2 linked regions of the Cricetulus griseus genome follow. The protein of the gene in region 1 binds, or shares a complex with, the protein of each later gene. Links are inferred from orthologs where the notes say so. Each region holds a gene or a part of one and is shown in the gene's direction. Other genes may lie near its edges. The genes, in order: Csf1r and Csf1.

The links.
Region 2: the proteins of Csf1r (region 1) and Csf1 are in contact, whole or in part, in a crystal structure (PDB 3EJJ), measured with the Mus musculus proteins. The link is inferred for Cricetulus griseus from reciprocal best matches to the Homo sapiens genes CSF1R and CSF1. Residues at the interface, in NP_001032948.2 of Mus musculus: Arg142, Arg146, Leu149, Arg150, Lys151, Lys168, Val169, Leu170, Ser172, Asn173, Val231, Gly232, Phe233, Leu248, Ser250, Asp251, Phe252, Asp254, Asn255, Tyr257, Lys259; in NP_001107002.1 of Mus musculus: His38, His41, Met42, Gly44, Asn45, Gly46, His47, Phe87, Gln90, Asp91, Asp94, Arg98, Asp101, Glu110, Arg111, Gln113, Glu114, Leu115, Asn117.

What each region holds. Positions count from the first base shown.
Region 1 is NC_048595.1:177,982,286-177,986,094, reverse strand, and holds part of Csf1r (macrophage colony-stimulating factor 1 receptor), read left to right. Parts: coding exon 1-177; intron 178-1,986; coding exon 1,987-2,102; intron 2,103-3,809. UniProt on the Homo sapiens protein: Tyrosine-protein kinase that acts as a cell-surface receptor for CSF1 and IL34 and plays an essential role in the regulation of survival, proliferation and differentiation of hematopoietic precursor cells, especially mononuclear phagocytes, such as macrophages and monocytes.
Region 2 is NW_023276806.1:49,411,164-49,414,972, forward strand, and holds part of Csf1 (macrophage colony-stimulating factor 1), read left to right. Parts: intron 1-188; coding exon 189-336; intron 337-1,499; coding exon 1,500-2,515; intron 2,516-3,135; coding exon 3,136-3,188; intron 3,189-3,501; coding exon 3,502-3,547; 3' UTR 3,548-3,560; intron 3,561-3,809. UniProt on the Homo sapiens protein: Cytokine that plays an essential role in the regulation of survival, proliferation and differentiation of hematopoietic precursor cells, especially mononuclear phagocytes, such as macrophages and monocytes.

The sequences.
Region 1 (3,809 bases):
AGGCCTTGCAGGTTTGGAGAGATGCCCCTTTTGAAGTCCTGAGTCAGGAGCCCTTCCACAGAGTGACCATTCAGAGCCAGCTGCTCATTGGGACCTTGAAGCACAACATGACTTATGTTTGCAGGGCCCACAATAATGTGGGGAACAGCTCCCAGCCCTTCAGGGCCACCTCTGTAGGTAATCCATCCTTCTCAGACAGAATGGGCATCAGATATCTGGAGACTGTCCCTGAAATAGGAAAAATTAATAAAAGTCTAAAAACTTAGACTATAGAGCCCATACTAGAAAAAGTTTCTAAGCTCTTTTGAGCTCCCTAAGGCAGCACAAAAGATTAATGCTAAATAAAGGACTGAGGATGTGACCAGAGGCCTAAGACCAGATAACACACCACCAGCTGTGTCAACATTTCTTTGTCCTAAATAAAACCAGATTCGCAGTTGTAAAAATCCCTGGCCCAGGAGATAATTAACTCAATGCCCCTTACAATATCCTATTCAGTTGTATCCTGCTTAAACATACAGTTATTGTTTTATCCTATGTAACCACGGAAGCTTTCAGCCTTATGGTCTATCCCCTTAAACCCTCCCCCACCCCTTAGCTATAAGCCACATTCCACTTGCTCCTGAGTGAGTGGGATCCAGGCCATGGCTTGAATAAAGGAAACCTTTGCTTTTGCATTGGGTGAGTTGCCTCCATGGTAGTAGTCTTTTTGGGGTTCCATGAACTGGACATAACAGTCCCCTCACCTCCAACCCAGGAATTTCTACTTGGAGGATGTCTCAGTCATGCCGAGTGCCACTTCTGGGTCACCCTGGCTAGTCCTGAGCCACAGAACTCCAGGGATAGCTATATGGAGAGGTTCAGAGTCCCTCACTGGGGACTGAAGTGGAAAGGGCAAGATCAGGGAGTGGGAAAAAAGAATGAGACAGAGACACCCAGACAGAGACTGAGAGGACCAAGAGAGACTGAGTGATACAGAGAGAGAGACCAGTAAGGTAGTCCACTAGTCTTTGGCCCCTGCTTCTCTCTGCATTCAAACTTATATGAGGGAGAAAGGAGTTGAATGAAGAAATACAGCTTATCCCAAGTCCACAGCTAGAAGGGATGCTTCCTCTATCCCTCTCCAAATCCCCCTTGTTTCCTGCCCCTGCCTGATCCTGAGACACAGTCCTCAAGGGGTTTCCAAGTGCTGATATGGAGCCTGCATATGGGCCTAGTCTCATGCAAAAGCCCACAGTCTCCCCAGGCCATTAAACTGCTAGGATTTGGTACCTACTGTGTCAGGGTCTGGGTGAAGCTCTCAATTCAGACTGATCAGGGCAAGCTCTTGGCTTCTGCTTGGCTCAGGGATCATGTCACTTATGTCCTCCAGTCACTAACATGGAGCAGGTGTTGGCAGACCTGTTGCCCCTGTTGTCTGTGAATGCTGTGTCACTGATGGTGGTGGCAGTTTTAAGTAGTGAAGCCCCACTGTGATGAATGCTAGCATTGTACCAGGCATCGTCTCCATGACCCCTCACCCATTAGCAGTAAAATCCCTCCTTCATGGTTGTAAAAATCCCTGGCCCAGGTATGGAAGGATGACACACCTGAAATGTTTAGAGAAGGCCTACTTTGATATCACTCATCTACTAAGGGGCTCTTGGCTGAACATGGAAATGAACTGTGTCCTTCATACCACATTAACATAACTAGGATTAGAGGTCAGGAAGGGGAGACTAGCTAGTACTCAGACTCAGTAAGTTGCTGAGCTCCTAAGGCCACACAAGAAAGCTGCAGGAAAGCTGAGGAAGGTGTGGGTAAACCCTCCACCCCCCCGGGCCTCTCTGCCCACAGGTGCAAATGATAAAGCCCCACCACTGGGGTTTTGTACAAGCAGTGGCTGGGCACTGAGCCAATCTGCTAGAGAATTTTCATGCCCTGGCAGAGGGATGGGACTGAGTACACATCACCCCACCTGCTCATTCCTCTGTCTCCCTCTTCCAGGAAGAGTCGAGCAGCTCCCTGATGAGTCCCTGTTCACTCCAGTGGTGGTGGCCTGTATGTCTATCATGTTTCTACTGCTGTTACTGCTGCTGCTGCTCCTGTACAAGTACAAACAGGTGAGCTGGGCATTGGAGCTGGGTCAGGGACCCCCCCACACACAAGGGAGCCAGATGTTGGTGACTGCTGCTCATACTAGCTCATTCTGATAGACTGACTTGTAACTAGAGCTCTTCATTAGGTGTCTACTGTGTGTCAACATGGCCTAGCACCAAGGAGCTCCTGGTGCAGTAATTTTGGGCTTTACTGTTGGGGGCAGGAGAAGGTATACAAATAAGGATGTGCCTAAAAGGTACCTAGCTCTGCCTGGCTCTGCAGAAGAGACGGCAGGAAAGTGGGTATGTTGAAGCTCCTTTCTCTGTCTATAAATTGGGGTTCGTGATGCCACTTTCCTTTGCAGTTGAAGCTTGAGAGGGTTGGTGGGATGTCTGGCAACTCCCCAGGTGTCCCCCTTGTAGTACTTGGGGGTGGTAAAGGGATCTGCCAGTCTGGCATGGGGGGTAGTGGACCCAGGTGACAATGCCATTCACCTTTAGGGCAGTTGGTGTTGCCATCAGGCCTACATAAGGCCTTTCCCATCTCAGTTCCAGGGTCTGGTGGTGTTGGTTTCTACCTACAAGGACCCAGTTTCCTGGGTGGAACCTGTGGAGTTCAGGGGAAGCAGCAGCTTCATAGATAGCCCCAAGCTAGAGCCATACTTGTTTGTGAGTCAGCTGTAAGGTGTGGATAGACTGGAAGAAGTCTCGGCAGTCCAGTTCGGCCGAGAGTTCAGATTGGAGGTTGGAGATAATAGAAGGAGGTACCCCAAACATGATCTCAAAGGGAGTGAGGTCTATCTGGTAGGGAAAGTTCTGTACCCTATAGAGGGCAAAGGGAAGGAGAGCCACCCAGTCTGTGCCAGTCTCTAAGGTCAATTTAGTTAAGTTCTCTCTCTCTCTCTCTCTCTCTCTCTCTCTCTCTCTCTCTCTCTCTCTCTCTCTCTTTGGCTTTTCGAGACAGGGTTTCTCTGTGAAGCTTTGGAGCCTATTATCCTGGCACTCGCTCTGGAGACCAGGCTAGCCTCGAGCTCCTACACTTGCCTCTGCCTCCCGAGTGCTGGGATTAAATGCGTGTGCCACCAACGCCCGGCCAGTTAAGGTCTCTTTTAAAGTTCTGTTCATTCTTTCTACCTGTCCTGAACTCTGGGGTATATATGGGCAATATAATTTCCAATCTGACCCCAGTGCAGTGGCTATTCCCTGACTTACCTGAGAGGTGGAAGCTAGTTCATTGTCTGGCCCCAACAATGCAGGAAAACCATACCTGGATAGGATGTCATTAAGAAGCTTCTTTGTGAGCCACTTCATGCCTGACCAGAAAAGCTTCTCTACCCCTCCTGAGTGAAGATGCTGTCGTTGGTGAACCAAGTCTCTTTGGCACTGGGTAGAGGGGTGTCTCTTAGGTCCAGTTGGATGACCATGAGGCTGAAAGCCCGAGATTACACATTTCTGTGGTAAAGCAAATACCATATGTTTAAGTTAAGATACAAATGAGCAGCCGGGTGCTGGTGGCGCACGCCTTTAATCCCAGCACTTGGGAGGCAGAGGCAGGCAGATCTCTATGAGTTCTAGACTAGCCTGGTCTATAAGAGCTAGTTCCAGGACAGCCTCCAAAGCCACAGAGAAACCCTGTTTCGAAAAAACAAAAACAAAACAAAATGAAACAAGATACAAATGAGCAGGATATGGCAGGGAATATAAGTTTGTTAACCTGGGCCAGGGATTTTT
Region 2 (3,809 bases), on another chromosome or scaffold:
ATCTGTGAATAAACGATGTATCTCTCAACCTCAGGACTGATACTGCTGCAAAGCATAGGAGATGAGAGGGAGGAAAACAAAAGGGGGAAAGAAACCCCATGGGAGAAAGCACAAGAGAATTGGGCAGAGCAATAGTGAGAGAAGGCCCATGTCCGTGATTACTAAAAAGGGCTCTGCTCTTCTTCCAGGCCTGTGTGCGAACTTTCCATCAGACTCCCCTCGAGCTGCTGGAGAGAATCAAGAATGTCTTTAATGAAACAAAACATCTTCTTGAAAAGGACTGGAATATTTTTAGCAAGAACTGCAACAAAAGTTTTGCTAAGTGCTCCAGTCAAGGTAAGCATAGAAGCTACAGGGAGGGTGTATGTACAGTGAGATAAAGGGCTAGGGAAATCCCAAAGGCAGCCTGGCTGCTACGTGTGTTTCTGTGTGTTTTATGTACTCATGTGGCTTCATGTACCTCAGGGTCCTGGGCACATGTCTTTGCTGACATGTGTGTGCATGTACACTGACTTATGCCTGCATGTACTGTCTCACCGCCTTACTTGATGTGGCAGCATCAAGAAGGCTCATGCTGGTGGCTGTTATGGTAGCGAGAGGGAACGGGAACTTTCTCAGAGAACCATGTAGGCATGGTGGCTTCTCCACCTTGGCTCTGCAGACTGGCTGAATAAATGGGGATTCCGTGGAAAAAGCAGGTGCTCCATCTGGCAGTCAGGGTCCTTGCTCCAGGAGCCCTGCTGCAAAACACCAGGATACCTTGGCTCCAGAAGTCCCCCGGATGCCTTGGATGTCTCCTCAAGGGACAAGGCTGAATTTGAAGTCTGAACATCATTCAAACTCTCTCTACCTGTGCACTCTGCGTGTCCTCATCTCTGCGTCCTGTGCCACATGTATCCTGCATTCAGCCTCACTCCCCAAAGCAGGGGCTGAGCTCCTACAATGGGACAATACTCAAGTCCAGCCTTAGTGCTTCAATCCCAAAATCCCAAACTGTGGCTGCTTCCTAGCCTCAGCCTTCTCCATCCTGTGGCTGTGGCTGTGGCTGTGGCTGTGGTTGTTTGGCTCCTGGCTGTGCATGAAACCAGTGTCTTGGGGGCTTCCAAATGTCTTGTGTTACTCCAGGAGCTATTGCTCATTTCCCTGGCCTAGCTGCTGCTTACCCCTGGTTTGACATCCAGTCAGCTAGAGCCCCAGTAAACTGTCCTGTGGTCTTCCTCAAGCCCCCCTCTGTTTGTCTGTACCTTGCTTTTGGTTCCTTGTCCATGATACCCTGCTCTCTCCTTGTCCATATTACCCCCTTCTGCCTGAGTTCTGTGTCATGATCATTTATTGCTGTCCTGCCTTCTCCCCAGCCCCAGGGCTGGGTTAGAAGAGGGTCCCCCTTCCCAGGCCCCAGGGCCTTACCCCCTCTTATCCCTATGGGGGAGCTGTGCTAGAGGCTGGTGACTCTATCTCCTCCCCATCTTTCTCTCTCCCCTTCTCTGTGGTTCTTTCAGATGTGGTGACCAAGCCTGATTGCAACTGCCTGTACCCTAAAGCCACCCCTAGCAGTGACCTGGCCTCTACCTCCCCTCACAAGCCCCCTGCCCCCTCCATGGCCCCTCTGGCTGGCTTGGCTTGGGATGATTCTCAGAGGACAGAGGGCAACTCCCTCTTGCCCAGTGAGCAGCCCCTTCGCACAGAGGACCCAGGCAGTGCCAAGCAGCGACCACCGAGAAGCACCTGCCAGAGCCTCGAGTCACCAGAGATCCCAAACCATGAGGACAGACTCACTGAGGGTTCAGAGTCTCCTCCATCTTCAGAGGCTCCTATCCCTGGTGTGGAAGACATCCTTGAATCTTCACTGGGCACTAACTGGGTCCTAGAAGAAGCTTCTGGAGAGGCTAGTGAGGGTTTTTTGACCCAGGAAGCAAAGCTTTCCTCCTCCAAGCCTGTAGGGGACAGCATCCAGGCAGAGACTGACAGTTCCAGCAACTTCTCAGCATCTTCTCCACTCCATAAATCAACAGAAGACCAACAGCCAGCAGAAACAAGCACTCCATTGCCAGAGGTGAACGCTATGAGACCCACTAGCCAGATACAGAATCACACTCCTGAGAAGACAGATGGTTCATCTACACTGCCTGGAAACCACCAGGAGCCAGGCTCTCCCCACATTTCGACACTGGGTCCCCAAGGCCTCAGGAACCCAGCCACCCCTTTTGCTCAGTCACTGCTTCCGAGAAGCCACTCTTGGGGCATTGTGCTGCCCCTTGGGGAGTTTGAGGGCAAGAGAAGTACCAGGGATCGAAGGAGCCCCGCAGAGCTGGAAGGAGGACCAGCAAGTGAGGGGGCAGCCAGGCCTGTGGCCCATTTTAACTCCATTCCTTTGACTGACACAGGCAAGAAGGGGCAGCGTGGGGGACCCAATGACCCCCAGATCTCTGAGTTTGTCTTTCACCTGCTGGTGCCGGGCATCATCCTGGTCTTGCTGGCTGTTGGGGGCCTCCTGTTCTACAGGTGGAAGCGGAGGGTAAGGAAACCCCCCAGGAGAGGTGGATATCCTATGGGGCAGGTTGGAGGACAACTAGGTTGCAATAGGCTCTACAGTTGCTGGGAGGTAGGGATGACAACCCAGAGAGTAGAAGGTGGTGATGGAGTGTTGCTTCAAGAATCAGAAGGTACCAGGAGTGGTGATGACATGTGCCTTTGACCCAGAAATCCAGAGGCAGGCTCATCCCTGTGAGTTTAAGGCCATCCTGATCTACATAGTGAGTTCTAGTCCAGCCAGAGCTACATAGAGAGATCCTGTCTTATAAATAAATAAATAAATAAATAAATAAATATAACAAGAGGTCTCCAGCCGCAGATTATTTAGAAGGGATGAGAACAAAAAGCTATAGAAAAGGGAATTCTTGAACAACCAGCTAGTAAAGGGAAGGAAGAGGAGGGGAATGCTATTCTGGGAGCTTGAGGGAACATGGGTGGTGTTCTGCATGGAAGGGGACAGGAGAAGTAGCACCTATCTTCAAGAGGTCCAGGAGTCTCCCTCAGCTGTTCATGCTTTCGGGTAGCTAGAGGAATTCTTGTGACTCTCAGCAATGCTTGGGGGCATGCCAACACCTCATTAAGACAATTCTTTCTTGTCTCCAGATTCATCGAGAACCTCAGACATTGGATTCTTTTGTGGGGCGACCAGAGGACAGGTGAGAAGTTGCAGTGGGCTGTGGAAGGCACTGGATGTCTGTTTTGGGGCCTGTTTCCTCTCTACATTGGAGGAGGGTTTCTCTCCATTTCCCTAAGGAACTAGAGCGGCAGAGCAGGGTGGGTACAAAGAAAGGCCTCTCTTTTTTCCACAACAGCTGGGCTTTCCCCTGATTTCTTCCTAGACTTGGCCAGTTCTGGAACTTCTATATATCAGAGATAGAACCCATGTGTAGGGTTTGGGATAAGCTAGAAGATATCCTCAGTCCCATGCTCCTGCCAAAGTCTTATGTCAGCCCTGTGTTCTGCCTGCAGCCCCCTGACCCAGGATGAGGACAGACAGGTGGAACTGCCAGTATAGAAAGGAGTCCAAGGTAAGGCTCTGACTTTGATATCTCTCTAGCCCTTAAAAAGAACTATCTCCAGTTACCCTCCCCTGTTGCAGAAGCCACCAACTCCCAGGAGACCCACACATTTGACTTCCTCTCTTCTATCCCACTCCCATTTTCATTCATTCATCAACAGGTCTAGCTAGGCCCCTCCCTTCCAGGCCTCAGGTCTCACCTTGCTCCTGCACCCCTCCCCCACAGAGACTAGTTACTGCTGCCTCTGCTTTATGTTTC